Linked DNA regions of Lonchura striata. The protein of the gene in region 1 interacts with the protein of each later gene in a biochemical or structural test. Links are inferred from orthologs where the notes say so. Each region holds a gene or a part of one and is shown in the gene's direction. Other genes may lie near its edges. The genes, in order: LRRK1, PDCD4, ODF2 and CDC42EP3.

Region 1 (7,248 bases):
TGCTCTGGCTGCTCCCTAAACCCCTTGAGACACATCCAGCACCAGTGTGGCTCTGCTGAATGTGTTCCCAGCCCAGTTTTATTTCTCTCATCTGCAATGTAGATACAGAGCAAGAACATTCCATTGTCTTTTAACTCTCTTCCCATCTGATGTGTGAGAAATTCCTATGGGCTCCCTACACAGGCCAAGCCAAACTCCTTGAATTTTCCACTCACTGACAGCATCACTCAGAAGCTTTCAGACTCCAGAGAAGGAAAGGCTGAAGATACAGAGGCATTACTGTGAGTGACACAATCAATGGAGACAAAAGGAAGAGTGGGATGAGATTTGGGGAGGGGAAAAAGCGGGAAATTAGCTTGAATATGTGGGTAAATTATTGCCAGAGGAAATTAGAGGCTCTATCATAATAAAGGAAAAAGTTAATTTAGGGTGTTTTCAAACATTGTGCTAAAAATGAGGTAAGAAAGGTCTGGATAAGAGCTGGGCTGTGAGGCATAAAAGGGAGCAGGCTGGCTAAGAAGTGGAAAGGTGCTGAAAACAGGTAACGCTGTTTTTTAACTGTGTTAAAAGCCAGAAAACAATAGTGTTGGTACGTTCTAGCTCTCTACCTATGCCTGCAACTGGACGCAGAGTGATGGTGGCCTGAACACAGGGAAAAGCACCGGTAACACCCATCTGTGCCATCCAAAGGAACCCCCAGGCTCCCGCAGCCGTTCTGTGCGCGCACATCCACCCCCGGGTGACCAGCAGTGACCCATCGCTGGGTACCGAGCAGGCTAAAAACATCCTCTGTGTTTAATTTATAGAATGGCTGCGAACAGCAAAGCAAAAGGCACGCGGAAATATTGGGTTTTTTTTCCCTTAGTTGATCCGACGAGTGGGGTAAACGGAGCAATCCCTGGCTTGTCAGGCTCCTGGAGAGGAACGGGTCAGCCTGGGGAAGGGCCGGCTCCTTCCGAAGCGAGGGGGCAACCTCGCTCTGCTCTTCCAGCGAGCACCGAGCTCGCCGCGGTCGGGGAAGGAGCAACTTTCAAAGAGCGCCGCGGTAAGGCCGGGCCCTGCGGGACTGCGGGAGCGCTCTTCCCCAGCCACCGCCACTCCCACGCTGGCATTGCCCACACAGCTCAACCCTCGGAGCCCGAGGGCTGCCCGGGGGCGGGCGGGCGTGTGGGTCGGCTCGGGGGAAGGAGCTCCATCCTGCCGCGGGCCAGCCCTGCCCTCGGGGCAGCGAGGGGCCGTGCCGGGGACTCGCCCTTGGCCGCGGGGCCGGAGGAGGAGCCGCTGTCCCGCTGCCTTTGCCGCCGGGCTCCCTCCGCTCCCGGGCCGCGGAGCGAGCGGGGCGCGGGCGGCGAGGAGGAGGCGGCGGCAGCGCCCGGAGCGCCGGCCCGGGGCGCGGAGGTACCGTGGCTTTGCTGCCGCTTCTCGGGCACCTGCCCCGCTGCCGGGGCAGTCGGAGTGGGGGGCTGCCGGGGCTTTGCAGGTGGAAATGAGGGGGAAAGCGAGCGGGAGTTTGTTTTTGAAGAAAATGAAAGTTCAGAGAGAAGCTCGCGGGAGCGGCGCGGCCGCCCCGCCCGGCGGGACGCGCTGTGAGGGGACGCCTCAGCCCGCTGGGAAGCGGCTGGAAAGGCTTGAGAGACCCCCCAAAACGGGGTGTAGCGCCTGGTGACCCCCCAGCCGGCCGGGCTGTGCGAGAAGGGGATGGTTTTGTTCTCGCTGCTCAGCCGGGACGAGGGACGCGGTCCCTGGGCGGGCAGGGGGTCCCTGGGCTGGCACCGCGGCCCCAGGCTCGCCGTGGGCACCGGGCGGGAGAGCCCCAGCGCCTTCCACCTGGGCCTCTCGGGCCCCAGTGGGACTGCCAGAAACAACAGGTGGTTTGGGTAAAGCACTGAAGTTTTATCAGGGGTTTTTATCAATTAGCAAGCCATTTTCGGCTAACCGCGATGTTTCTGGCAGCCTGTTTTTAGGCACAATGCACAGGGTCAGACAGGGCGGGATGGTGAAGGGGAGGGGAGTGGGTGGTTCAGGTGTGTGCAGTAGGAGGTGTCAGGGCTGGGAATGTGTGAAATGGGATGTAAATCCCATTTACACCTGTTCAGGTGTATTCTGCATGGCCCCTCTCCTTCTGAACGAGACTCTGCAGAGCACATAGACTCTCTAAATCAAATACGTGTGGTGTTTGCACGTTACAGTTGTAACCTTACAGCAAGTGCACCTTGCTTAAGGTAAAGTTCTGTAGGGGTTTTAAAAAAATTTATACAAAAAGGTCCTGAAATACAGAAATCCTCATTACATGGGCGCTGTGTGGCAGTCATATACATGGCTACAGCATTCAGTTACTTGCAGTTAAAGGAACTGATTACCAGAACCACACCACTATTTTTCCTAAAAATTATTTTTCCTTTCACTTTATAAGAGGAAAGTTTCAGCCTGGGGAATAGGCTGAGTAGACAGCAAAAAATCAGGAGTGGAGTGGTTTTCAAGCCTCAGGGGTCCATGCTAGCCCCCATTCAGTGTTTCTTGTACAGTTGCTGTAGGTGCACATGGTTTGTCCCCGTCTCAGAGCAAGGAAGTGCCTCAGAAACCATCATCTGCTGCAGAGCTGGTGGGCCAGAGTGTGCATGGGGAAGTGTTTACTCTCCCTGGAGCTGCTCAGTGCATCAAGGGCACAGGGCAGGCAGCTGCTGGAAGCATCACATCCCCTCCACTGCCAGAGTGAACACCCTGGACAGCTCTGGGGAGGTGTGAGAGCCTTCCTGACACCTCTGCCTGGGCCATCCCACCTGTGGCATGGAGGAATGTGTGGTCCCAGCTCCTCCTGCCAGCGTTGTCAAGGGAAGCTGAGGCCAGGAGAGAAGCACCAGCACCAGTTCCAGGGCAGAATTCAGTCCTTCACCAACACAGTGCAATTCACCACTTTGTGGGCTTGGATCTGGGATTAGGATCACCTCCATCTCAGCCTCCTGCAGCACCCTGTGCCCAGACTAGGGCACAGGGGTGCCAATCTTTTTTGCTGCTGCCAGGCACTGCAAAGTCAAGGTCAGCAGAAGCTGAGTGCACCTAAAATTCAAATATTTGCCTAAAAACAACTGAAACAGGATGTAGTGATTTTTAGTGTTGTTGGCTGAAACCCTGTGTAAGGAGGGAGGAGCAGAAAGCTTCCCGGATAGTAGTGATGGATCAGCATATTTTTATATTCCCCTTGGCCTTTGATCCCAGTTCAGGAAGTCAGCTCTGCTCAGCGAGAGTCAGGGAGGGTCTTGGGCCTTGCTGGCTGGAGTGGGAGGTGGGTTATGAGCTTTGCTGAGCTAGAGCCTCAAATCAGAACTTCATCATCACACACCAGACTTGAGAAGAACCAGTAGGAGTCAGTTGAGGTGCATCATGTCACATCTGAGAGGCGTTTACTGACTGAAACTGAAAGCAGAAAATGAAGGAGCTCTGATGCTGGTTGGACAAACACTGCAAATCCTCCAGGAGCCTGAGCCTCTGTACGAAGAGGTTGAAGGGTGGTTGTGCCACTGTGAAAAGGGAAGGAGTTGGAAGTGCCTCGGGAGACTGAGCTGTGCAATTTTCTGCTGCCTGTTATACCAGGCAGTTCACAAGAAGCCAACCTTTAATAGCTCCTGAGGGCCTGATTTGCCTCCCTGAGTGAAGAAGCCTGATGCTTCCAGGGTGAGAGAGTTCTCAAAAAGGACTGGCAGAGGGGACAAGAGCTGGTGTGTTTCTCTTCACCCTCTTCTCTTTCCTACAGAGGATTATCTCAGTAACCACATCAGTGTTTTTCAGTTTCTCACAGTCTTACAAGAGCTGTGGTTGTCTTTGTGGATGGGAGAGGTTTTGAGGTTGCATTTAGGATTTTTCCAGCTGCACTGCAGGGTTTCAATGGTCTGCCTTTACACCAGCTTGTGGAGAATCTGAAACTGCAGCTGTGACCCCTGTCCACCCCCTTGTCCTCTGCCCAAAGACTGAGCAGCTTTGGTGGTGAAAAATTAGGAACATTATCTTTCTGTAATGCAGAAATTGTTAGTCCCCTCTGTTAATTCATGTTATGCTCTTAACAAAGCTATTATGAAAATAATTATATTTATAGGATAAGAGTATTTCTGCTGTGTGACATTTGGACAACTGTGTTAATAGTAGAGAGGAATAAACATCTCACTATTTCTACAGTGGAATGATTAATTTGTTTTGTTGTTTATTTTTAAACAGAATAAATGATGTTTCTTCAGGATGGTGCTCACTAGCAGCCTCTGCTCCTGCATTCACATGATGGGGATCATCCAGCTTTGACAACACTGCTCAGTCTGAAGTGCTGTGGAAAGTTTGTCTGTGGGGCCTTCACAACTGCCACCCAGAATGTACTGGTGTGTGGGAACGGAGGAATCCACTGTTTGCAGGGAGAGCAACATGGATCCACAGAATGGTAAATAGCAGGATTTGTTTCTTTCCTGTTCAGATTGGGAACAAAAGGTTCTAAGACAACTTGGTAGCCACTGGGCTCTGATGAAGTTTAAAAATGTGAAAGTTTTTTCAGCCCTGATCTTTGAAAATTTACAGTCTGGAATTTTATTTCCAGGGAGAGTGATATTGAACTATGGAGGTGGTAAGAATAGCATTCCCCTGAAGATGGATGTTCTCCAAAGGCCTACGGAATTAGTCAATATATGTATCATGTCTCCCCAGTTCCTAAATATGTTTTACAAGATCTGTGCTTTTTCAGTGTGTGAATGCAAATATGTTCCCAGTCACTGATGCAATGGGCATTCAGGATATGAAAGCTGCTAAAATCAGAGCATCTCTTCTCAGCCTGAACAGATATTAACCTGCTCCAGTTTTACCCTCAGCTCCTATTCAGTGGCTTGCAGTGATTTTATGTTGGGCTAGATTAGAACATTTGTGTTTATGTAATAAAGAAATTCTCCTTTTAGAAGGGACATATGCTTCAGGTTGCTTCCTGTGAATTTTTTTTTTTTTTCCTGAGCAGGCAAATTATTTTTGGATGGTTTCTCTCACTGCAACCCTCAGCTCCCAGGCACTGCTGCCTTTCTCTGAGTCAAACCCCAGTTATGTTTCTGCAGCAAGAAATAGCCTCCTGTTCTTGTGTAACGGTGTTCCCCCCTTGCAGCAAGTGCTTCATTAGGAGGCAGCATCTGCGTTTGAAGTGTGGGAAGAAGGTGTGTTTGACGCTTTGTAGTGAGTAAGCAGGCTCCAGCAGAAGCTAATGTTTTTGCAGCCTTATTTTGGATTTTATCAGCAACTATGAAGCAAAACCTGGTAGTTTATTCAGAGGCCTCCTTGTCTTGTCTGAAGACATTCCTCACCAGCGTCACAGGGAGCTCTGGGAACTCTTTCCTTTCTCCGTACGTATTCTGCTTGTTCTGTGATACTGATTTTTCTGTTTGCTGTTGGCAATTAGGACTGTACCTTTCTGTAACACTTGGTTATTGAATATTTTTTAAATTCTTAAATTCTGTCTTCTGAGTTTCTCTCTGGAAGAAATTATCTCCACTTGAATACTAAGCTATAAACCATGAAAAGAATTTTAATCTGCGCTAACGGTTCACAACTGTTCAGAATTGCTAAATCTTTGTTCTGCAGTAGTGATCTGGCAAGTTTTCTCTCTGTGTAAAGATACAATAAATAAATTATTGTAGGAGTGAATAATGAAGTGGAAAGTGGGATAGTGAAATTTTTTACATTTTGAATTCAGATTTTTTTCAGAGAACTTTATTACACGTTGCTGTTATGTAATTATATTCAGTTAAACTGGTTAGCTGGAAGCATGCAAATCTCTGGTAGACTCTTCTATATGGATATATCTGGGTTATATTAAAATAGTCTACAGTGCTGGAAAACTGGGAAAGGGATCCTTGTAAAGCTTAAGATCCCTGTACAAGGCACCAGTACTGCTTTGGTGGATTTGCTCATTGTAAGGGTTTTGTACATGCTTAAACTCACTGTTTTGGTCCTGCCAAGAATGATTGTCATTAGCTAACTGGTCCACTCCTTAAGTTACTGGTCCTTGTTCTGGCTCAGATCCCATTACAGGGGCTGAAGCAGGAGCACGGTGACTCATTCAGCCTCCTCATGCCAGCCCATTGTTTACACCGGTGAGGAACTGTGGATGCAGCCTCCTGCTCCCATTCAGCAGAAGCTGCTGGGAATGGGAGTGAAATCCCGGATCATTTCTTTCCTACCAATGACCTCGTTAGTGCTCAGAGTTTGGAGTCTTTTTGTTTTTGTCAGGCAGGAGGGACTGGCTTGTGGGGGATTTAACCAGAGCACGGTGGTGCTGGGGGCTCTGGGGTGGGTCAGCTGGATCAGCATGGCTGGAGGCCCCTTCCAGCAATTCCCTGTGCACCTTCATTATCTGAAGCCTTAGAATTTTTCAGGAGTTTTTTTTTCCCTGGCAGCTATAAAGCCCTGGCCAATTGTATGTGGAGAAAAATCACACTCAGCATCCTTCTTAGTTAGAAAATGCAACACAGGGTGCAGGGGCTCACCTTGCTCAGGTGTCTGCTCTGCTGTTCCTCCTGGTTGCCAGTGATTTCCCTGTATCCCAGCAGAGGATGCCAGCTTTCCCTGCATCCCAGCAGGATGCCAGCTTTCCCATGGCATGGGTGAGCTGTGTGTCAGACCTGGACACTCTTTGCCCTCTGGGGATGGTGCTGGGCTTGACCTGGTGGTGCTGACCAAGCCCTCAGAGACTTGTCACCAGAACACAGGATGAGTGAGGCTCCCTTGTGGGTGTACTCAGCATCTCCCTTGCCTCCTCAAACCCTGCTTCCCCCTCTCCTGGATTTGTTCATCTTGTCCTAATTAAAAGAAACTGAGCAGGGATATGGGGGTGGCTGCAGTCTCTCATGAAGTACAGGGTCTGGGTTTTTTAAAAAACTTGGTTAAAGAGCTCTGCATAATACAGAGGAGGTGACATGATGGGAATTTTGTAGGAAGTACAATGGAAGCCCAAAGGCATCACTTTATGAATGTGTAGAAAAGCATAAAGATTCTTTGCCTTTCTATGGGCTGATTGATTTCTTTGAATCTTACAAAATTTCATAGCTAGGATTTAATTCTTGTGTGGTTTTCTAGGAGCTCCTCAGAGGTGTAGAACAATCATTGTCTTCTGAAACATAAGGGTACTTCTGTTTAAAAAGCTTATCTCCTTCTTACTGGGAATTTTATTCAAAGTCCCAGGACATTCATATGCCACTGGTGTGTGTCTCAGAGGTGGGATTGGATTATCTT
Region 2 (6,893 bases), on another chromosome or scaffold:
AGGACCTTCTTCAACAGGGAACAATTCAACCTCCACGCCCTGGGGGACACTACTGAGGAGCAGAGGTGCCTTTCCTTGTATCAGCACTGCAGCCAGGCTGCTGTTCTCCCATTAGCTCTGGCTCCAGTGCAGGTGCAGCAGCACTGGCTCCCTCCAGACCAGGTGGGCCAGCCTGCCAAGGAGCCTGGACACACTTCAGACACCTGCCAGGACATCAGGAGGTGTTGTGCTCTTTGGCCAGCACAGCGGGCTGGGCTGTGGAAGGCACTGGGTGCCAAACCTTTATGCCCTGCAGAAGCAGAACTGACAATACCTAGTCCTTGTATGCTGACACTTTTCTGTCTTCAGGCCAGTGCTAAGACTTAGGGACAGTGTCCTTTTTTCTGGGAGGAAAGTCAGAAGGAGGGAGAGGAGAGGTGGAGAAAAAAGCAGACCTAAAATTGGGTGAAGAAAAGCATGCAGACATTTAGACCTCAGTGGTCAGGAAAACACCTTGGCTGAGTCTCTTGCCCCAGTGAGGTAAAACACCTTGTTACTGTTTACTACAAAAGGTGACTGGCACAGTTATATTTATAAGGTTAAAAAAAAAAATCTAAAAGACCAGCTACTTCTGTTCCACCACTGAACTACTTATTTTTACCCTAGAACTATAATGAAAATCCACTCTGGTCAAATTTTTTCTGGGACACTTGAGATGCTGCAGGTTTTTTAGTCATAAACAGTACCCTGTTCAAAATATTATGTCCCATTTATGAAGGCAGGCGTGACTGATACAGCTTCCGAGTTCCAAGGGGCATATTTAAATAAGTAACAGGAACTAATCCATATAGTCAGCTTTCCTTAGGAGCCTGGGGATTTGCATGTCTAAATTTCACTGCGATGAGACTCCAGGATAGGGGATAAAACTCTAGTTAACTTCACTGGAGATAAAACCCAGGCAAGGGCAAAAGCTTGGAGACAGATGTTGCAGTTGAATGAATTTATACCTCAGAAATGCTACTTAGAATGAACAGTCATTGCAAGGAATAATTTTAAAAAGCAAAAGAATCGATTTGGTATAAAAGCTATGTCTCCAAAGGGAGTCAGAGTTCTGTCTTTTAAAGGACATTAATAAAAAATGGGGAAAAGTTTTTCCTCATTGCATATGGCTGAAGAAAACAGGAGGAAGAAGAAATTATAGGGCATAGAGGTTAATATGCATTGGGTATGTGCAAAAGCCAAACTCATTCTTTGCTTTAACTTTTGCTGAGGATGTTAATCATGTGGCTGCAGATGTGAGGGATAATAGGATGGGGGTATGGAAATGTTTGTGGCCGGGATAAAAGCAAATCTCAGGGCTGCTTCCTGCGCTGAAGGCAGAGGAACGGGCTAATCCACATGCCAGAGCTCTGGAAGAACTGGCCCGATGTCTTTAACAGGTCCCTCAGCCAGGGACAGCAGCACAGCAAACCTGTACAGAAGTGAACTGATTTGGGCAAGAAGAGGCATGAAGGTTTCAGCTTAATAGCATAAGGACAGATTCAGAAAAAAAATGGTGAAGGAAAGGCTAACAAAAGAGAGGGAGGTAAATGGCATGAGATGAAATGGTTTTATCAAACCCATTTATCTTTCTTGGGAAAGGCAAGCTGCAAGCCATTTGCTTAGTGAAGGAAATGGGATGGATCTCACCTCTCTGGACTTACATTGCACATTTCATATGGTGCCACATGGAAAGTTCTTAAGAAGAGGGAGAGGTGATTTTGCACAAGGTATAACCCCCCCTTAAAGCTGTAAAGAGATGTGGCATAAGAACAGCAGGGCTGTCAGGCTGGAGAGTAGTTACCAGGAGAGTGTTAAGCATCACTGTAGATCTGGCAAAGTGCTTTTGTAAATGGGCTTGGCACTAGTGTTACTGGAGAACTGGTGAATTTGCTGATGACAGAAAATATGAAGTAACCTCAGGAAAAAGGAGGCTTGAAATATTACACAGAGAAAGGTAGATAGCAGAAAGTGCTGGTCATAGGTACAAATGACCAAAGCCTTTCCTACAAGCTCCCTGGCAGCTCACACTCTGATCACCAAGTAACTGACTTGCCAACAGTGGAAATAGGAAGTGAGAAATGCAGTCCTGGAAGGCAGCAGGAGAGGTGCAGCCCAGGCTGCACTGAAGGCTGGGGTGAGCTTGAGCAGAGGCTATCTCACTTCATTTTGCAAAGCAAATACTGTGAGCATGAGGTTTTCTCTGCATAAATACTCCCGGGAAGGGAAGAGAGGAGAGCTGATGGTGCTAAGGGCCAGTGCTGGTAACAGAATAAATGATCAAAAGGAGCCATCAGACATTTTGATTAGGAGACCATTACTAACCATTTGACAATGTGGTTCTAGAATGTCTTCCCCACTGCAGTTGTCCATGCAAAATATTGAACTGCTTTGAGGATGGAACTTGGCAAGGTCATGATAAGGATATAAATCACATGGCGCCTTTGATAGGAGACCTGATAGCACAGAAGTTCCTGCCAGTCCTAAGCACAAAGGTAAATGTTCTGTAAGCCCCTGTCCATGTAAATATAGAGCATGTGATTATATACACACAAAAAGCAGGCACATGATTTATTAATCACAGGACCGCAGCTTGTCAAATAATAATTACAAGGCAATAACACACCTTGTTCTAATAAATGGCTTCCTAAGATTTTCTCCCACAGTAAACCAGTAAAAAGGGACAATTATTCTGAGGTAGAGGTGGCATTTTGTGTTTCTGGTTGTTAGCTTTTAAATGAACTCACCGTCTGGAACTCAAATCAAGTTCTTCCATTTTTCTGCACATTTCACAAGTTCAGCCCTTTCCAGTAAAGCGTCTTTTCAGATGCGTGATTGCCCTTTGTTAAGGCAAGAATGAACAGATGACAGCGGCAGCACGGAGGAGACATGCCTGGAACAGTTTACCGGGGCGATCCCACTGCTGCCGCTGCCAGGAGGGTGTACTCAGAGCCCCGAACAGGGCAGGCTGCTTGTGCAATGTGAGGGGCAAGTCCTGGGAAGCCACGAGAGAGACAGGCAGGCAGTGTTTCGGGGAAGTGTTTATGCAAAGCCACGGCAGCGGGTGACCCTTCGGTCTCCGCGCCTGGGCAAACGCAGCGCGGTCCCTCCCCAGCTCCGCAGGGCGCCCAGCCCCGACGGGCGCTGCGCAGCCAGGTCTGCAGCACAGCCCCGCTCCCAGCGCCCGCATCGAGCTGCGCGAGGATGTTCGAAAGCAGCTCGCATTACTGAGCATTTAAAAAAGTGAAGGCGTGTTTTTGTACCCTTTCAACCTGGAGCTGACGCTGCCTGATGAAAAAGAATGGGTTTGCTGTGTTTGCAGTTCACTTCGTGAAGGCACCTTAGCAGAAGATGCAAAAATAAAAGTAGTCTGAAGGGAAAGAAAGCAGAAGGCCAAGAGACAGGCAACTGAACAGAGCAGATTGATTTAACAGATATGATACATTTTTGCTGTCTGCATTATGTGTGGAAATTCGTATTCCAAGTGACACAGTAACAGACTCGACTGTAACCAAACAGCTCTGCTGAGGTGTCAGGAGCACAGATGCTGCCTATCGAAAATATTTAAAACAGAAAGTAAAACTTTGAAAAATCCGCGGTGGGGAGTGCAAGGGAAATAAACGTTCGGTAGTGTTTCTAACCCAAGGCAACTTCTCTCGGCTTTCGCTGCTCTCTCTGGTGCGGGAGGTCGGAAGCAGCTCAGCCAGCGCTCGGTGAGCAGCAAAGGCCAGCCCGGCCCGGGCAGCGGAGCCACGCGGTGCCCAGCGTGCGGGGGAAGGGCTGCTCCCCGCGCTTTGGGGAGCTCCAGCCAATGGATCCCTCCCCTGGGTGTTACGGGAGGGCTTGGCCTGCCTCTGAGAAAGGGAGGGCAGAGTTTGAAAACAACTCGAAGGAAGGAAGGCTGCTCGAAAGTGACCTGCTCGCCTCCGTGCAAGCATTTCGCTCCAGGTGATCGGCGGCTGTAGGGGTGGAAGCGCAGAGGGGCCGGGCGGCACAGGTAACCCGGGGTGCAGGTGTCGGGCGGCGGCTCCGGCTGGACACCCCGCGCTGGCTGCCTCGAGCTGCAAATCCACCACAAACGCTCCAAAGATTTTGACTGTGGTGTTTTTTTTTTTTTTAAATGTCAGGAGGAATTTTGCTGTTTTGTTTTCATGAGGATTTTTGATCGTGTGTTTGCTATTAATATGTCTAGGGGAGGGAGCGAGTAGGTCTCTACAGCTCAGAGGTTAGCATGTGATCAGCTGTTTTCTTGTTGTTGCAGGCAGGTTTGAGGTTAAAAAGGGAAAAAGAGGTGATGTCTTTTAGTAGGCTGGTTGATACAATGGAAAAATACAAGTTATCTTTCATGCACATAAGCTCTTTTTCAGGTCATAGTGCTTCAGAAATCAGATGAGATTTTCAGTGATTGATAACCCACGTGCTAATAGAGATATACAGCAGAAGAAAGAAAAAAACACGCAATTTTGTTGTCTGGAGGTGTGCTGGATGGTTTGGGGGTTTTCCTCTTCTTTTGACCTCTGATCCAGCTTTTAGGCTTCTTGGAAGTGAATCAGCCCTAAACTTTAGTAGAAAATCCTTTAGCAATTTTCCATGGCGCTTTAAAAGGTGTAATTGGCATGATGCCATATTTTGTGCCATCTTCTCTTGTGCAGGTTCTGGCTACTGTTTCAGTCTCTCTGTCACCTCTTTCTTTACTGAAAAATCTCTTTAAAGCCCCACTCTGCCTTGCAGGGAAAGCTAAATTCCATGGTGAATGTTAATAGGTAGAATTTCTTTTCCAAATCCTGGTGATGACACTGTGGTAGTTTGCTTGGTACGCACGAGTCAGCAGAGGTGCAGAGAGCAAACTAGGAACTATTTTTTGATTGATGGGGAAACAACATCTTTTAAAGCTGCCTCTAGGTTGCATGTGAAAAAAATCTTGTGTGAGCATGTTGGACTGTTCCGACATGAAAAAGTCTGCAATTTAATGCCTTCATGAGCAAGAAAGGTTTTCTTTCTGTCATTTAGCTGGTGGGGGAAGTATCATGAAAACATGGCAATCGTGCTGCACATTCTTTTAACAGATAGTTGTTGTTTTAGATCTTAAATCTATTTTGGATGATTCATGCAGAGCCAGGCCAGTAAATTAATTCAGAGGCTCTTACACAAGGGAACTTTGGCTTTTATTTCAGTCAGAAGAGTACCAATCAGGAGTGGAATTATACAGGAAAAATATTTAATAACACTACAAAAGTCAAGTCATAATCTGGTTAACTGGGGAGGTTTCTCTCACTGGCAGCTGGAAAATCCTGCAGTGCACAAATACCAAAGCAGAAGTGATCTGTATTTGCTTCCCTCATTGCTTGGGCTCTCTGGAGTGACAAATTAGGGAGAAAACAAAGGGTGAGCTGAGTTTTGAGGAGAGACCTGAACGGAGGCAAAGCACAATTAGAGGAGACTGTCATCTCTAATTAGGTGTGTGCCCTCAGGCAGTTGGTATAAAAGTAAACTAAAACAAGGTGGGAAGTTTGGAAGGACATGCACAGCCTGGCTGTCAATCCCAAACCTGATCCTCAAACGTGTGTGAAGCTTTCCCAAGGGGGGGAAGGCGGCAGCTCTGCCCGCCGGGGGCCGAGCAGCAGGAATGCCGCCGGCCAGCTGCGGTGCTGCCCGGCACCCTGCCCCGCACCCTGCCCCTCACCGAGCCCCGCACCCAGCCCCGCACCCTGCCCCGCACCCTGCCCCGCACCCAGCCCCTCATCCGCCCCGCACCCTGCCCCGCACCGAGCCCCGCACCCAGCCCCGCACCCTGCCCCGCACCCTGCCCCTCACCCTGCCCCGCACCGAGCCCCGCACCCTGCCCCGCACCCTGCCCCTCACCCTGCCCCGCACCGAGCCCCGCACCGAGCCCCGCACCCTGCCCCGCACCCTGCCCCGCACCGAGCCCCGCACCCAGCCCCGCACCCTGCCCCGCACCGAGCCCCGCACCCAGCCCCGCACCCTGCCCCTCATCCGCCCCGCACCCTGCCCCGCACCCTGCCCCGCACCGAGCCCCGCACCCAGCCCCTCACCCTGCCCCGCACCCTGCCCCTCACCCTGCCCCGCACCGAGCCCCGCACCCAGCCCCGCACCCTGCCCCTCATCCGCCCCGCACCCTGCCCCGCACCCAGCCCCGCACCGAGCCCCGCACCCTGCCCCTCATCCTGCCCCGCACCCAGCCCCGCACCCAGCCCCGCACCGAGCCCTGCACCCAGCCCCTCATCCTGCCCCGCACCCAGCCCCTCATCCTGCCCCGCACCCAGCCCCTCATCCTGCCCCGCACCCAGCCCCTTATCCTGCCCCTCATCCTGCCCCGCACCCAGCCCCGCGCTGAGGGAAGGGCTTGGGCGGGCAGGCAGCCAAAGGCCCGAGCTCCCCTTGTCAGCAGAGAGAAACACACGCCGATAAGAGTTAACAGATTCTTTTTTCTGATGGCTTTGATGCTTCGGAAAAGGAAGAAAAATTGGCTTTTAATTAAATTAGTAGGCCAGCACGTGGAGGAGGAACCAGGCACAGCTGCCCCGGTGCCAGCACCCAGCACCCCCAGGCGGGATGTGGGGAGCCGTTCTCCCGCATCCCGGGGCCGCCGCTTCGCCCGGCCCTGCCCCTGGAAGGGCTCGGGCGGCGCTGTCCCGGTGCAGGTGGCACTGTCCCGGTCCCGGTGGCGCTGTCCCGGTCCCGGTGGCACTGTCCCGGTCCCGGTCCCGGTGTGGCCGCCCCGCGCCGTGTCCCACAGGGACATGGAGGAACGGCTCAGGCGCCCTCACCCCCGCCCCCCGCACCAATGGCTCCTTCCCGCTCGCACCCCCCGGACCCACTCGCGATGGTCTCGCCCTCCCCGCTCTCCCCGGCCT
Region 3 (7,866 bases), on another chromosome or scaffold:
AACCTCGCTGACCTGGTAAGGGTTTCATCCCTGTGGTTATTGTCAGGTGGATCACAAATTATCCTGCTGCTCCTCTCTATAAAATGGTTAATACAAGTACAGGCAGAGAAGTTGAGCTATATGAAATACATTGTCTTTTGTGCAGTAATACAGTTCCCTCATGGTGGGGACTTGCCTAATAACTGCACATAGATCCTGATCCTTCCGTACTCTTTCCTCATGGAAAAACATATTCTTAATTCCCTTTCTGCCATTCACTCCTCCTTGCTAATCAGAAGGATGGATCATATGGCAGGACAGAAGGTAGAGCCATCCTAGCTTGGCTGTTAGGACACTTGTACCTTAAGCCGTTTTCCACTGCTTTTTCAGTGTTGTTCTGACCTCTCTGCTCTACACAGGCAGTGTACGGGGTACTCCGGGTCATGGAAGGGCTGGAAGCCTTTGATGACATGATGGTTCACACCAAAATTCAACCTTGGTACCAGCGCATGGAAGAAGTCATTGAAAAAACTGGAGTTGCAATCTGATGCCAGCTGCAGCTGCCTCCCTGAAGTACTTGCATGGTGAAAACTTCAGAAGAAATGGCTTTTATTTTTAGAGTTGACTGATTACACCTAATGGACTGACATGTGGGCACAGAGACCACCCTGTTCAGAACATCAAGTCGCTGTGAGAGAGCAGTCCAACTGGGTGTTTGTAGAAGGATGGGGACAGGTAAAAGAAAGGGATTTTGGATGCTGCTGGAAAGGAGATGCTCTGAACTGGAGAATGCAGCAAAAAGGCTTCTTTCAGAGAAGAGATATCTTCAGAGCAGGCTACTGTAAGAGCAGGATGCTCGTGGCTGGTGTTATGGCTGTGTCACATGTGGTAGACCTGACCAGCTTTTGCCTCAGGCTGTCTCCTGCTACTCATCCATGTCAGCTGACATGTTTTCCTGACTGAGACACTGGATACTGGTTTTTAAGTAACAATATTTCCTGCAATAAAATCTTGTAAACCTAGTGCTAAGGGAACGGGAGGAATCTGCAGTTCTGGAGAAGGCACCCTTCCTCTGACAGCAGTGAGGCTGCGCTCAGCAAGGCATCTGCTTCACTCTTCCATGTAAACGGTTCTCTCAGGATTTGATTCTGTATGCTCTGCAAGGATAAAGGCTGGCTTTATTCTGTCCCCTTTGTGAGATCTGAGTTCTTATTTTACCCTTTACACCCAAAGAACATGGCCTACAATGAAATCGCAAATGCAGAGCAGTTATTGGAAAGGCTTGTTTTGCATGAGATACCTCTGGAATATCCCTGAGGATCAGTTTGTTCTTGTTTTAGGAAAAAAAGGATTAAGAGCCATCTGCATGGCCAGGGGATCTCTAGATGTTTCTATCATGCAAGAGTAACAAAGGATTGCTGATTTCGCAGTCAGATTAGGAGCTGTACCTGCAGCTAAGTCTTCCGAGTTGTGCTGGGTAGAATCATAGAATGGTTTGGGTTGGAAAGGACCTTAAAAACCATCTTGCTCCAACCGCTGCCATAGGCCAGGTTGCTCCAAGCCCTGTCCAACCTGACCTTGAACACTTTTAGGGATGGGACAGCCACAGCTTCTCTGGTCAAGCTGTGCCAGTGCCTCCCCATCCTCACAGGAGAAGCCACTGCCCCTTGTCAAAGGCCCTCTCTAGCTGCAGAAACCATATTTTTCATAGCAAGAGACAATGCAGGTTCAAATGTGAGTGATCCTCTGCACAGCCCAAGTATCCTTAACTACCACTCTGCTTAAGTTCTGTTTCCCTGGAAGAACAGGCAGGTTTCAGGGAATCTGATTTGTTGTGATATTTCAGGTGCAGCTGAAGTTGGTCTGTAATACAAGTGCTTGCCCAATGTGTGTTCAGGGAGGTTATAACAATGGTGGTGATAGAGGTTTGGGTTTTTTCTGAATGGAAGACTAATTCCAAATTCAGTTATGATCTGACATTGAAGGGAGAAAGAAAATGTTTACAGTACAAATGGCTGCATGGCTGCTCTGACTTGTATTTCTTTAAACTGTTCTGTACTGAAACTTGTGTTCCACAGTATCATCAGGCAATGTTCTTTTAAAGAATTATATTGAGCATGCATAAACAGGAGGTTGAAAAACCCTTGATGATAATTTCAGCATCCACCTCAACCTGAGAGGGAGGAAGATTTTCATGTTAAATGAGGATCTGAAGCACCAAGGGCTCAGTGATTCCACTTCTTGCTGTGCTGTGCTACGTGAATCAGTCATCTCAAGATGAATATCCATAACACTAACATGCCAATAATATTACATTAAATAAAGATTGTTTCAGGATTTTGTATCACCTTTTATGGAGTCTTAGATTTTTAAGGGATTGGAATGGACCTTAGAGATCATTTACTCCCAACCTCTGCTGCCATGGGCAGGGACACCTTCCACTAGACAGGTGCTCAAGGCCTTATCCAACCTGACTTTGAGCACTGCCAGGACTGGGGCATCCGCAGCCTGCCTGGGCAACTTGTGTCAGTGTCTCACCACCCTCACAGGGAAGAATTTCTCCCTAATATCTAACATAAATTACCCCTTTCAATTTTCACCTCGTCCTATCACTACAGTTCCTGATGAGGAGTCCCTCTCTGGCTTTCCTGTAGCCCCCTTCAGATCCTGGAAGGTGCTCTGAGGTTTCCACACAACCTTTCTCTTTTCTAGGCTGAACAGCCCCAACTCTCTCAGCCTGTTTTCACAGGGAAGGTGCTGCAATCCCCTATCAACTTTGTGATCTCCAACATTTCCATGTCCTTGTGTTGGGGACGGCCAGAACTGCACACAAATCTGGTTAACAGCTTACAGTAAAAGTGGCTCTGTACACAATTCTGGTGTCACCTTTAAGACAGCAAAACGGTAAAAAGACAGTAAGACTCAAAGGCAACGCCAAGAAAACTGACTTATTAATCCAGCTATTTAATCCTCTTTTCAGACCTCCCCATTTCTGTGCGGATGCGCGGCCACTCCTGAGGGGGCCGCGATGCGGTGTGCGTGGCCGGGGGTGGCCGGGGGTGCCCGGTGCCCGGGGATGCTCAGTGGTGCCCGGTGCTCGGTTGTGCCCAGTGCCCGGGGGTGGCCGGGGGTGCCTGGGGGTGCTCGGCGCCCGGTGGTGCCCGGTGCCCGGGGGTGCCCGGTGGCCGGGGGTGCCTGGGGGTGCTCAGCGCCCGGTGGTGCCCGGTGCCCGGGGGTGCCCGGTGGCCGGGGGTGCCTGGGGGTGCTCGGCGCCCGGTGGTGCCCGGTGCCCGGGGGTGCCCGGTGCCCGGGGGTGCCTGGGGGTGCTCAGCACCCGGTGGTGCCCGGTGCCCGGGGGTGCCCGGTGCCCGGGGGTGGCCAGGGGTGCTCGGTGGCCGGGGGTTCCCGGGGGTGCCCAGGGGTGCCCGGTGCCCGGGGGTGCCCGGTGCCCGGGGGTGCCCGGTGCCCGGGGTGCCCGGGGATGCTCGGTGGTGCCCGGTGCCCGGTGTGCCCGGTGGCCGGGGTGCCCGGGGGTGCCCGGTGCCCGGTGCCCGGGGGTGCCCAGTGGCGGGGGTGCCCGGTGCTCGGGGTGCCCGGTGCCCGGGGATGCTCGGTGGTCTGTGGTGCCCGGGGTGCCCGGTGCCCGGTGGTGCCCGGTGCCCGGGGTGCCCGGTGCCCGGGGTGCCCGGTGGTGCCCGGTGCCCGGGGTGCCCGGTGCCCGGTGCCCGGTGCCCGGTGCCCGGTGCCCGGTGCCCGGTGCCCGGTGGCGGGGGCGGCGGCTCGGCCGCTCGCGCCGGGCTGCGGGCGGTTACCGGGGGCGGTTACCGCCGCTCAGGGCCGTTCGAATCACCCAATGGTGGAGCCGCGGGCGGCGCGCCGGCGACGGCGGCCGGGACCCTGCGGCCGCTCCTCCTGTCCCTGGTGCGGACAAGGTGCCCAGAGCTCGGCCCACGGCCGCCCTTGCGCCGCTCGCCGTGTTGACAGGGATCTGAAGGCGCTGCGAGCCCCGCGCTCCTGGTGAGAGCGCCGCGACTGCGGGGGGGGCTCGCCCTGTGGGGTGTCCCCTCATCGTGGGGGCGTTCCCTTGCCTTGGAGGGTGTCTCCTCGCCGTTTGTGTGTCCCCTCGCCGTGTGGGCGAGGTCGGATCGCGGGGGATTTTTCCTTCCCGGCCTTGCGGGCTCCTTCGTGCGGGCAGGCCGGCGGCCGCGGGGCTCGGGTAACGGCGCGGGGCGGGCGGGCGTTGGAGCGGCCGGGCCCCGCGGGCTGAAGGCCCGCCCGGCTCGGGGCTGCCAGCAACCACCGACCGCGTCTCCGCCAGCCTGAGGGACCACAGAGTCCCTGGAGAACCTGCAGAGATTGCAGGAGGAATTAACACGTACGAGTGAGCCTCGTTGCTAAGGAGGCACAGTCACGTTTGGTTGTCGCTCGTGGTGATTCAAAGGCGCTGTCGGTGCCTGTCCGCTTCCTGAAGTAAAGGAAGTACTGCTGTGCTCCTTAAAAATCGCAGCTCGAATTTGAAAGTTTGTAAGTGAATAGTGCCATCATGTAATTGTACAAAGCATTTCCACTGTTTAAAACAATTTCCACTGTCAGTAGGAATTATAGTCTGTCCTTCCCTCATCCTGTGCTTTAGAGAGAAAACTAGGGCACACCAACTTTTATTGTTTGCGTTCTTGCACTTGATATGTTTGAGCCTTGGTATTCTCTTAGATCAAAAGGAAGAAGATGTTCAGAAATTGGCATTTTTTCCTCTGAATCATTTTATTATTTCTGTACCAGGTGTATCTCATCTTGCCACGGAGAACGTTCCTCTACGCCCAAGACTGTGTGCAAGAAAGTCAAAGGCTTGAAAGTAGCTGTAAGTAACTTTACCTAGGCTGACAATATCCTTTCTGCCAGAATCAGATTAGTGCTGCCGGTGGCTTTGTGTAAGATTTCCAATTGTGTTATGCCTTTACATCAACTGAGGCTCCAAGATGATGACCTGAACCTTGTGTCTCTAGGCTTTTCTGTGTTGTGTCAGGTTATGGTTATGTGTTTCTGTGGTGATTAAAGAAATGCTGTGATGCAATGGCTTTTAAGGATTTCTGCTTAAAAAAGATGCTCAACATTAAGCACTTATGAAGAAGGATACAGGTTCAGGGTTCTAGGATGGATTGGTCTGATGATTTCCTCATGGTTTTTCTTAACTGTTCAATTAATTCTCCTCTTCTCCCTGCTTCAAATTTCTCTTTGTAATCAGATTTTGTTGGTTATGGGAACCCTTGATTTGCTCAGTTGCTGTATTTGAACTTCAATGATTCTTACAGACACCTGATATTGATCCAGCTGTGTTTGATCTTCAGTAACCAGGTTAAAAGCAGAAAATATTGGAAGCAGAGGAATTATTTGTGTTATTCCTGGCTTTACAGAAGAATAGTGTGAAGTTCAAAATGGCAGATGCTACTGATACAAAGCTCAAATGTTAACCAAGGCTGGCCTCTGTTTCTCTCTGAACACTGAAGGAAATGTTGTTATTTCCAATTTCCTTATTCACAGGTTTCCCTTCATTGTATTTCCCTTTCCCATTTGTGGGAGAACAGCCATGAAGAACCGTTCCTCATCTCCCCCTTTGCACGTCCATGTGGATGAAAACACCCCTGTCCATGTCCATATTAAAAAGGGGCAGAAAACCACACCTGCAAAATGCCAGGTAGGAGTGTGTACCTGGTTGCTTGTAAGGGCTGCAGAGAAGGTGAATGGCCCTAGAAGCATCACAAAGTCTTCCAGGTCTGTTCTACTGTTGTATTAGAGCTGTGAGACTTCATTTCATATTCAGTGGTGAATTTGCAGTGACACATTTGCTATGTTGATTTGTTGAAAGATGATTTTAAATTGCTTTTCATGCTCATGTGAGAAATGTTGCTTCCAACGTGATATCATTTGGTGGATTTTTTCCCTTTTATTTCTTGGGTCTGTGTCTGATAATGTTTTGTATTTGTCTTCATATCTGTTTTTGGAGGAAAGCTTTGAGGAGAGATAGTACTTAGGCATTTCAAGTAGTATCTTGATTGTATTCAAATAAATGTGCATAGAAAAAGAATCTTGATTGAGACCATCTTCTGACGTTAAGGACATTCTCTGTCCACTGAGCTCTGCAGCCAAGAAGATCTCTTCCACTTCCACAGGAGGCACAAGGCAAAACTGAAGCTGAGATTCTAGCTATCCCATACCCTCTTTTTTTGCTGGATATTTATGGAAAGTTGTTCTAAAAAATTGATGGAAGTTGCTATCTCATTCTTCCTTATCTACAGACATCCTGTTCTAAGTCTTCTATTAATTCTGTGTTTGTTGCTAATGGCAGATTTCATAATGGGATGGAATGACAGTGAAAATAATGAGTCCTATGAATTAATCACCAGTAGGGAATGTTTACAGCATCTGATTTTTCTCTGTGGTTTGAATTGTGCAAAAACACTTTAACTCTCCTTGAATTAGAGCAGCTCAAGTTCAATACAAATAAATGTGCATCTTCTAGTTGACTACAGAGTAAGGAAAACACTTCCAGGGCTTTCCAAAATCGATCATGGTATCAAATGATATAGCTACTTTTTTGTGAGGTGAATCTGGGATGAAGAAGGGATCTCCCAGAGATCTGTCAGAACCTACATCCAGCCATCCTCTCAGCTGAATGTGCAATAACCTTTTCTTCTAGCTGGTGTCAGCTTCCTTTGATGGCTGCTACTCATCTCACCTGATGCATCCTGTGAAGCTCTACTGATAGTTCTTTATGAATGATCTTTCATTTAGTTTTGCAGCACTAAAAATTGCAAATGGTTCTTTAAGGGTCTGTAATTTATTTTATTTTCTCTTTCTTTAGCAAAAGCACAAACAGAAATCTAAAGGGGACGGTGTGCGCGCTGTGAGGGTGAAAACTAAGGCCCCTTGGATACCCCCAGGCAAAACAAGTACTCGTGATACCATCTTGAAATGGGAGGTACAGCTGGTTTTGCTCTTTAAAACAAACTTTGAGGCTTAGCCAAGGAGGAAGAGAGCACTTGTGTAGTGAGAGAGTTGGGCAGATCTGAAAGAAGGCTACTGTCCCCTGCCATCTATTTGAAGTGTCTTCTGAAAATCTTTTTCACTTTTTAATGTAGAAAAACTGAAAATTCATAAACAGCCTGTGGCCATGCCTTACTCTTTCTAGAAGCCAGACACGTTTATTTCTATTATTGTAATTTACTGGTGCAATTCAAGATCTCATCTGGAGGCTCAGCAAGAGAATGCTGGTCTCAGTGTCTTCAAAAGCATGGAGTGTTTGTGTAGCATTGCATCATACTTTCTTTCTCATGGTTCAATAGTTTTGCCTGTTGTATTCCTGGCACTTCCTAGATGAGGATTTGAGATTTGATTAGTTTTTCTTCTTTTTCATTGTAGTCTTTCTGCATTCATGACTTGGAAACAGAAGAGCTGTTTGTAAACAATGTTGTTTTTTTTCTTTCCCAGCCTTGCTGCAGTGATGTGACCCAGTGTCTTGTTTTTGGCAATGTTAGAATACTATTTATAATGTTATACTAAAAAAAATATACTCTTTATTCCCTAGCAGGAATCAAGTGAACGGGTGGAAGCTACACCTAATGGTGAGTCTGACAAGATGCAGTCAGTACTGCGCCTCAGTGACCTCTCCACGGACGACGATGGTCCTGCTTGCTGCAAAATCAACAAATATGAAAAGAAGATAGACAGCCTGATGAATATGGTGGGAACACTGAAGAAAGAGGTGAGGAGACAGTGGAAAGACCTGCTGACTGGGGCTTTGTAGCTGATCCTTTGACAAGGGGAGGCTAGAGGCAGGTCTTGGTGCAATGGAAGGCTACTCAGGCTGTTGGTAGCTTGCTTGAAAATCAA
Region 4 (7,415 bases), on another chromosome or scaffold:
CTTCTCACCAAACACAGTGGAATTTTTGTCCTCATCTCCCTGAGGTGTTCTGCAAGGAAAAGTGCTCTAAGCTTAGAGGACCAAGAGAGCAGATGAAAAGAGAAAGGAAAAGCTCTTTGAGGTAATCAGTGAACTACCACCTTCTTTCACTGGCTGAATCACCACATCATTCCATGCACTCCTCCAGGCATTACTGAGCAGCCTGGGAAGACTGGGAAGGGAGGGAAGATTAGTCCATACAGCCATCCTTCCACTTGGCATTTTACAATGCAGTAGGAAAATGCAGACTAGGAAAGCCAAACCTTGTGTAGTATTGGAATAGCAAAAACAGTTGAAAGTCAAACATCCATCACTAATGTGTACAAAGTCAGGCAAAACCCTTGCTCAGACTGTGGGTCAATTAGTCCTTTTCCTCCCTTGGTCCAAAGTGTTATCGCCACAGAGGATAATGAGTTAATGCCAAGTATGGTACTCTGGAAATGAAAGGTCATGGAACAAGAGTTAAAAAAAAGGGTTCCAAATAAGATAAGTCTTTCAACACTGTTTTCTAGGTATTCTGTTAAATATCCCACTGGGAGGCTTCTCTTCATCAAACTAAGCCACATTTCTTTGGACTCTCTTCTCTGAGTGATTTCAAATATATAAAGAATTTAGATGAAAAACAGATCTGTATTTTTTCATTGTTTAAAACATGGTAGTAAATGTTCACTTCTCAGAAGAGTGATAGTGATTTTATTTATAGAAATTCCCAAAGTGACAGTTACAGAAATAATCTGTGGAGAACAAGTTGCAGAAGACTTTTTCCCTCAGTCAGATCATATCCTTGCTTTCCAATGCTGTGTAATAATCTCCATGAAAAGAAGCTTTATTATATAGCTCTGATCATTGTTTTCACTTCTAAGAGCAAACACTGAACATGAAGTTGGGGAAAATAATAGCCTCCTAATAGGATTGTTATAAAGAAGATGGTCTCACTGTTCCCCGGGGTCATTGAGAGAAGAAATTAGACTGATTTGCAGCCAAGAAAGATGTAAGTTGTATATCCGTTGGGAAAGCAGAAAAAATACAGATAGTGAAAGAATGAGACTATGAATCTACCTCAAGAGTTTTTGGATTTTTCTGCCAATGGATGAATTCAGGAACAGAGGATAAATGAAGATGTGCAGGATATCTCGGGTATGTGGTTGACCAATTTGCCCATATTGCCACATGGATCTGGGGGAGACTGTGAAAAGTGAGATTATATTCATTATGCAGTAGCCTGTTTTAGGGAACTTTAAAGGGGCTGCATCTGCCCTGGAAAAGAGCATGCCAATAAGTGCTTGATCCTCCATCAGGGCACAATGTGGAGTAGATGACATCAAAGTCCCTTCAGTTCTGACCCTATAGTTCTATAGTAGTCTATAGTACAGTCACTCTCTGAAGTAAGTTATCAGAAATTCTTGGATATGTGTGCATTGGTAATCCACATGAGTTACTAAAACACAGCCAAATATTTAGATCATTCCTAGATTGCTAAATGCTATTTAGCAATAGTGTTTCAGAATGCAATCTTCAGGTACCCTGGAAAATGGAATTTTTGAAAAAGGTTCTAGTCACATTTTTTGTTTGCATTGGTAGTATGAAGTTTTTTACATTAAATGATTTAACTTATTACCTTCCAGAGGTTATGTTAATCATGTGTACTTTTAAACAATTTAAACAATTTCAAAGCAGAACAGACTGCTTTTAAACAATTTCAAAGCAGAACAGACTGCTTAACAATCCTTACTAAACTCATGGTCTAGCTCTAGCTGAAAGAAGAGCAAAAGCACCACACACTTAAATTGGCATATATAAATAAGCCAAATATTATGACGAATAGAAGCTCTCCTGATTCAGCAAAGCACTTAAACAGATACTTACTTTAAACTCCAGTTTTAATTCCTAATAAAAGAGGTTTGAAATTAAAAGGAGAGAAAGCATAAATCTGTGGTAAAAAGAGACTTAACAATAGAGGATCGCATCACTCCTTTCTGGTGATCAATTAAAAATCTGCACATTTGTAATAATTCTGATACTGTAACTGTTAAGAAGTTGAGGAAATTAATAACTGAAGTTCTCCTAGGAACCTTGGTTCTGTCTCTGGCCCCTACATGTGTATGCTTCAGTGTTTCCCATAACATGCTTAGCTGGGAAAGAGATCAATACTTTTTCTGCAGAGAAACTAGAACTTTGCTCTAAACCATTACTGCCTTAAAACACAGATGCTATTGATGTGTACACATATCACTTTCCTATTAATATGTCCTTTGCTCCTACTTAAGAGAATAAACCAGTATCATTATGGCCTATGATGGCACACTTGGGCACAGTGCAGAGGGCTGCAGCCTAGCTTTGATGACCTTGGGATGGCTAACATGGGACTTAAAAATGTAAGAGCAATGATACAAGATACCAGAAGTGGCATGGCCGTGTCTTCAGGCCAAATTGGCTTTTAGGGCTGGAGTAAAGCAGTGAAAACATGCATGGGATAAAGACAAGGAAAAAAGAAGGAAGGAAGAATGAAAAGCTGGAACAGGTGCCACAGATCAGAGGTGCAAGAGGTCACAACATGAACGGCACAAGAGAGAAACTTGAGTAAAACCAACTGTGGCACAGTATCGTGGCCCACAGGTTTGAAACCCAGCTCTGGAGAGAAAAACCAAAGAAATATTCAGAAGAGGCAGGGATGTATAACATGACTGGAACAAGCTTTTGAGTGAGCTGCTGTCAAGTGTTGCCAGCCTGCTATTATAGCAAATGAATCCATGTGTTTCTTTTGTCCTCAGAAACAGTTGTTTGAATTTTCATCAGCTTCAGCACATGGCACCACACACATGCATGCCCACACATGTCCTTTCTGAACTAAAAGGAAGTAAGAGCAATGTCATCCCTCCAGTGTCCCTTTTAAAAAGTTTTAAACCACTTAAATTAGGTTCCTAAACTAGAAAGCAGTCTCAAGTGTAGAGTTGGTAGAAGAAAGGTAGCATGCAGTGCATTCACACAAGATAAATAATTGAATAATTGCTAGGTTGGAAATGTATCCAAAGAAGCCAGGAATTATTACAGAATTCTTTTTTCTTTTGCTTACACAAACTTTATAATAGCTGTTTTCTCTGACTGTCCTTTTACATAAACTGGGAACAGCCTCTGGGCTGCTCTCAAATTTACTTTGGCTTCTCCAATAGCGCTTAAGAATTACTGGAATTGTGCAGTCCCTGGCCATGCCTCCAGTACTGTCAGAGGCCAGGGCACAGAGCCATCCCCATCCCCATCCCCAGTGAAGCTGCTGCCTCCACACCTGTTGTGTCACTGCCTGCTCCCACCTGGGAGGCCGTGCACTGGGCAGAACTGTTTGCACAAAGCCCTTGCTCCCATGGAACAAGCAACTTCATCCTTGGCTATTCAATCACATATGGAGGGCTTGTGGGGTTTTTTATCATCATGATATGTAAATCAAATGTTAAAAAGATTTTCAGAGAATTGAAAATATTTCAGCAATGAGAAACTGTGAAAAATGTGAAAGGACACTATTTTCCCTGTATGTTTCATTTCAGATAGCAGGATTGGGCCATGCATGGCATGATGCCTCTCGCCCAGAGACATCACCGTGTATGCGTAAGGGCAGAGCAGTCTGCAGGCACACTGAATATTACAGTCTCAACACCTTGAAAGGAACATGTTCTCTAAATTTGAGTACTGCAATTAAAAAAAAAAAAAAAAGAAAAAAAAAAAAAAGAAAATAGAATTACCCTGCGGTAAAGTGCTTTAGGTTCAGAGTGCTCCAATGAAAAGACAGCAAATGGGAAAATTCTCTCATCCAGATGTGGGTATGTAAACATATTTTAAACTAAGTATACACGTTTACATACAATGCATCCACTGTTTATGCTGATTTTAAAACACTATATGTAATGAAAATTATGCAAATATTTAGAAAAATACCTTAGCCTGGGTAAGGTATATACCACACTTAATATTTCAGTAAGGGCACATGCAGTGCTTGTATGGCAGTGCCAAAAGTAACATTTTGAAAAATGACCTTTTGGTAAAACTGTCAAGCACAGTGTTGAGTCCAGGTACCCGCCAACAGAAACCTTTGGGAGGATGTCACTGCGAGAGGTGGACCAGTGCCGGGGTCTCTATCTGGATTAACCAGAGAACTTGTAAAAAAATTAACATCAGCGCAGTATTTATGGGCTTCCTAGTCAGTAATCTGCTGGACTCCCAACAGCTATTTTAAGCTCTTTCCCGTTTTGGGCAAGGCAGTTTCACTTGTATAAAAGAGACGGGCAGGTGCCCTTAAGTCTGTCATTAAAGGGCTCCGGGCCGTCGCTGAATGGTCCGCGCCCCGCGCAGCAACTCAGCGCCGCTGCCCCGCTCCGGCCCGCCGCTGGGCGGGAGGAGCCGCCCCTGCGCCTCGCCGGCTCTCGCAGTATTTGCCGGTTACCTGCAAATCGCAGACCGCCGAGTCCTGAAAGCCCGAGCGCTCCTTAACAACGCGTAAATAATGGAGGACAGGCGGGATGAATGAGCACAGCGGGCGGAGAGAGGGCTGAGCCTCACCCCTGACGGATCGGGGCGCCGAAGAGGTGAGGGGAGAGAGGGTTTGGGTGAAAAATTATTAGCTTTAAAGCACACCTCGGAGCTGACCGTGCTCGGGGGACAGGGGGTTGCTCACCCGAGGGCTTCACCGGGACCCTATCAGGGTGTACAGAGGGCCTCCCGGTCTGCCCGCAACGCCCCCACCTCCGCAAAATAGCTAAAAAAAAAAAAAAAAAAAAAGGTGGGGAGGAGCCCTTTATTGTTATTGTGGTTGTTCCCGGCCTCCCTGCCCGCTTCCCGCCGGTGCTCCGCGGTGCCAGGATTTCTCTGCAGCCCGCCCTCCCCGTCCGCAGCGCCGCCGGCAGCGCCGCCTCCCCGCGGCAGCCGCTCGCCGCCCGCGGCCCCGCGCCGCGCCCCCGGCACCCGGAGCGCCGCCGCCCGCGCACTGACAGAAGCTCACAGGTGCCGCCGCGCTCGGCCCGAGTCGCGGAGGGGCGGCCCCGCTGCCCTCTCGGCTCCGCACCGGCGGGAGGGAGATAGCTCGGGAGGGAGGAGCGGCGCGGGAACAGCGGCAGCGCCGTAAGTGGGGGAGCGGGGAGTGGGGCGCGGAGCGGGAGGGCCGCCACCGCCGGGCTGCGGCACTGCCCCTGCTGACCTGCGGAGCGGCGGCGGGGCCGCAGCGCGGCCGCTCGGGGGGCTGGGAGGGAGGGTACGCATTTCAGGATAGCCATAGAGAGTACCCATGAATGATTTTGTTTGGCTGCTCGGGAGGTTTCCGAGCTATCGCTTAGAACGACTCGGGGTGTAATACAGTAATACATTACTGAAATTCCGAGCTGCAGTTCGTCTCTGTATCGGTTTAAATTTCCATCACAGTGTGTTTTGGCATACCTGATTTTATGCCCTTGCCTTGGAGGCAGAAGGCATACCCAGCCTACATCCCCCCCGAAACAGGCTGCGCTCCTTTTTGTGCGGTGTGTCGCCTTGCGCCGCGCCTTCCTGCGTGGGGCTAAGAATAACCGTGCACTGAGTGCGCTGCTCCCTGCCTGGCTGGGGCTGGACTGGGGGCAAGTCAGTACCCGGTGTGATGCTGGCTGTCGAGCTAAGAGTTCAAGTCGGGAACTCAAATTTGAGAATTTGAGTTGGGCTGCTGATGAAGAAATGCGGGCTGTAGATAATAGAAAGGACTTGATTTATTTTCAGTTGAAATTTATAAGAGACCAAAATAGAGTAAGCAATTAATTTAGGACTTGCGTCACTGTAGATTGTTGCTATGTTTTAAACATAGAAGGAAGAAGGCTTATTATTAAATATTTAATGTAACAAGTACGATCCTGAACTCTTAATTTCCTGTGAAAAATATCTGGGAGGAGAGGCAAGGACTCGTGCATAGACCATTAATTTCAGTTATATATAGGTTGTAAGGATGTAACATTGTTCAGGAAAATGTAGATGAAAAAAATCAGAAGGTTTAAGGTGTGAAAATCTTAAGCTGAAAAATTCTTTAGATACACACTACTAGAAATCTTGTAATCCATGTTCCACGGCTCAGATGTTTAGAGGAATGACAGAGATACCAAAAAAGGCATCATGATAGCGCAATTCTAGAACCAGAATTTTCTCGTTCCCTACAAAAAAGGAAAGCTCATTTCTGGAAGCAAGAAGTGACAGATGTGGCATCTTGGCAGCTGGCTAAACATAAAAGCAAGTATCAGCAAGTGATTACTGTTGCAAGGATTTATTTTTAAAGTGTCTTGTACTGAAAGGCTTCAGCGTTTTTTAGCATTAGCAGTAAGATGTACTTACAATCTGCAGTATGTTACAAATAGTCTTTCAGCAGAAACATTCGGAAAAGCAAGAGAAAACTCCTATGTTCGAGGCACTCCATGCTTTGAACATTTGTTTTCCATTAGAGCATGCAAAAGAAAGGAACTGAGCAGGTTCTTTGGTCGGTACGATAGTACTGAAGGGAATGATTTTTCCTGGCCTCAGCATAAGCCAGCTGTATCTGGGAAGGAAACAATAGGGTTTATCTTCTCCTTAGATGAAAGGTAATCACAGTTACTGTTGTTTAGGGAGCACCTTGTACATCCACAGAAGTAAAAACCAGGCTGCAAAACTGCCTCTGCCCCTCTTCTATGATTCGTAAAGCCAACCTGAATCACCAGGAGGTGGCCTGGATGAATTTTAGAAAAGAGATATCACCTAAGAGGCAGCCCAGAGCCACTCTTTCCCTGAGGCAGCGGCAGCGTGGGTCTGCACCATCCCTATTTGACTGCTGTGGTTAGATGTCACATTGACTTGAAAGAGGCATCTAAAACTGTTCCAAACCACTTGTATCAGCTTTACTGTAACCAACAAAAGCCATGGTTCATTGCAGAACATGCTTTGCTCTCAGCTTTTCATAATTAGGGAGGTTGCTTTGTTTTATAGTCTTCTGACCTAGATGGCTTCTTCTAGAAGAAATTCTGGTCCTCTGCCCAAGTTTTAACAAATAGTTTGGGGAAGAAAAAGGAACTTGCATTTAAAATAATTTCTTTCTGTCATGCAGAATTTGTTGTCAGGTTCTCCTTTACTTCTTGCCTGTGAGACTGTGTGTGTCTCAGGCACTCAGCAATGCTCTCTGACCAATTCTTCCTCCTCTTCCTCACCCTAGTTAACAGAATTGCTGTGTCACCTGATGCCTGTTTGGCCTTTCATAATGATGTGTAAACCACTACAGGCTTTCACTTTCCTGCATGCAAATTTTACTTTTTGGAAACAAAATAGTAAAACAATCACTTTTTCTTTTTTTTTTTCCCTCTTATGATCACATCAGAGTAAATATATTTTCTCAAGATCTGAACCAT

What was found.
Region 2: the proteins of LRRK1 (region 1) and PDCD4 form a complex in vitro, tested with the Homo sapiens proteins (2 studies listed by BioGRID and IntAct, with this or other methods). The link is inferred for Lonchura striata from reciprocal best matches to the Homo sapiens genes LRRK1 and PDCD4.
Region 3: the proteins of LRRK1 (region 1) and ODF2 form a complex in vitro, tested with the Homo sapiens proteins (2 studies listed by BioGRID and IntAct, with this or other methods). The link is inferred for Lonchura striata from reciprocal best matches to the Homo sapiens genes LRRK1 and ODF2.
Region 4: the proteins of LRRK1 (region 1) and CDC42EP3 form a complex in vitro, tested with the Homo sapiens proteins (2 studies listed by BioGRID and IntAct, with this or other methods). The link is inferred for Lonchura striata from reciprocal best matches to the Homo sapiens genes LRRK1 and CDC42EP3.

What each region holds. Positions count from the first base shown.
Region 1 is NC_134613.1:21,622,115-21,629,362, forward strand, and holds the start of LRRK1 (leucine-rich repeat serine/threonine-protein kinase 1), read left to right. Parts: upstream 1-4,234; 5' UTR 4,235-4,356; coding exon 4,357-4,423; intron 4,424-4,560; exon of another isoform or gene 4,561-5,360; intron 5,361-7,248.
Region 2 is NC_134609.1:23,128,220-23,135,112, forward strand, and holds the start of PDCD4 (programmed cell death protein 4), read left to right. Parts: upstream 1-3,884; 5' UTR 3,885-3,966; exon of another isoform or gene 3,967-4,015; intron 4,016-6,893. UniProt on the Homo sapiens protein: Inhibits translation initiation and cap-dependent translation. May excert its function by hindering the interaction between EIF4A1 and EIF4G. Inhibits the helicase activity of EIF4A. Modulates the activation of JUN kinase.
Region 3 is NC_134624.1:468,296-476,161, reverse strand, and holds the start of ODF2 (outer dense fiber protein 2), read left to right. Parts: upstream 1-4,847; 5' UTR 4,848-5,440; coding exon 5,441-5,671; intron 5,672-6,838; coding exon 6,839-6,955; intron 6,956-7,561; coding exon of another isoform or gene 7,562-7,564; coding exon 7,565-7,738; intron 7,739-7,866. Other genes in the region: PTGES2 (prostaglandin E synthase 2), read left to right, coding at 1-15, 399-527. UniProt on the Homo sapiens protein: Seems to be a major component of sperm tail outer dense fibers (ODF).
Region 4 is NC_134605.1:33,453,258-33,460,672, reverse strand, and holds the start of CDC42EP3 (cdc42 effector protein 3), read left to right. Parts: upstream 1-4,402; 5' UTR 4,403-4,613; intron 4,614-4,977; exon of another isoform or gene 4,978-5,145; intron 5,146-7,415.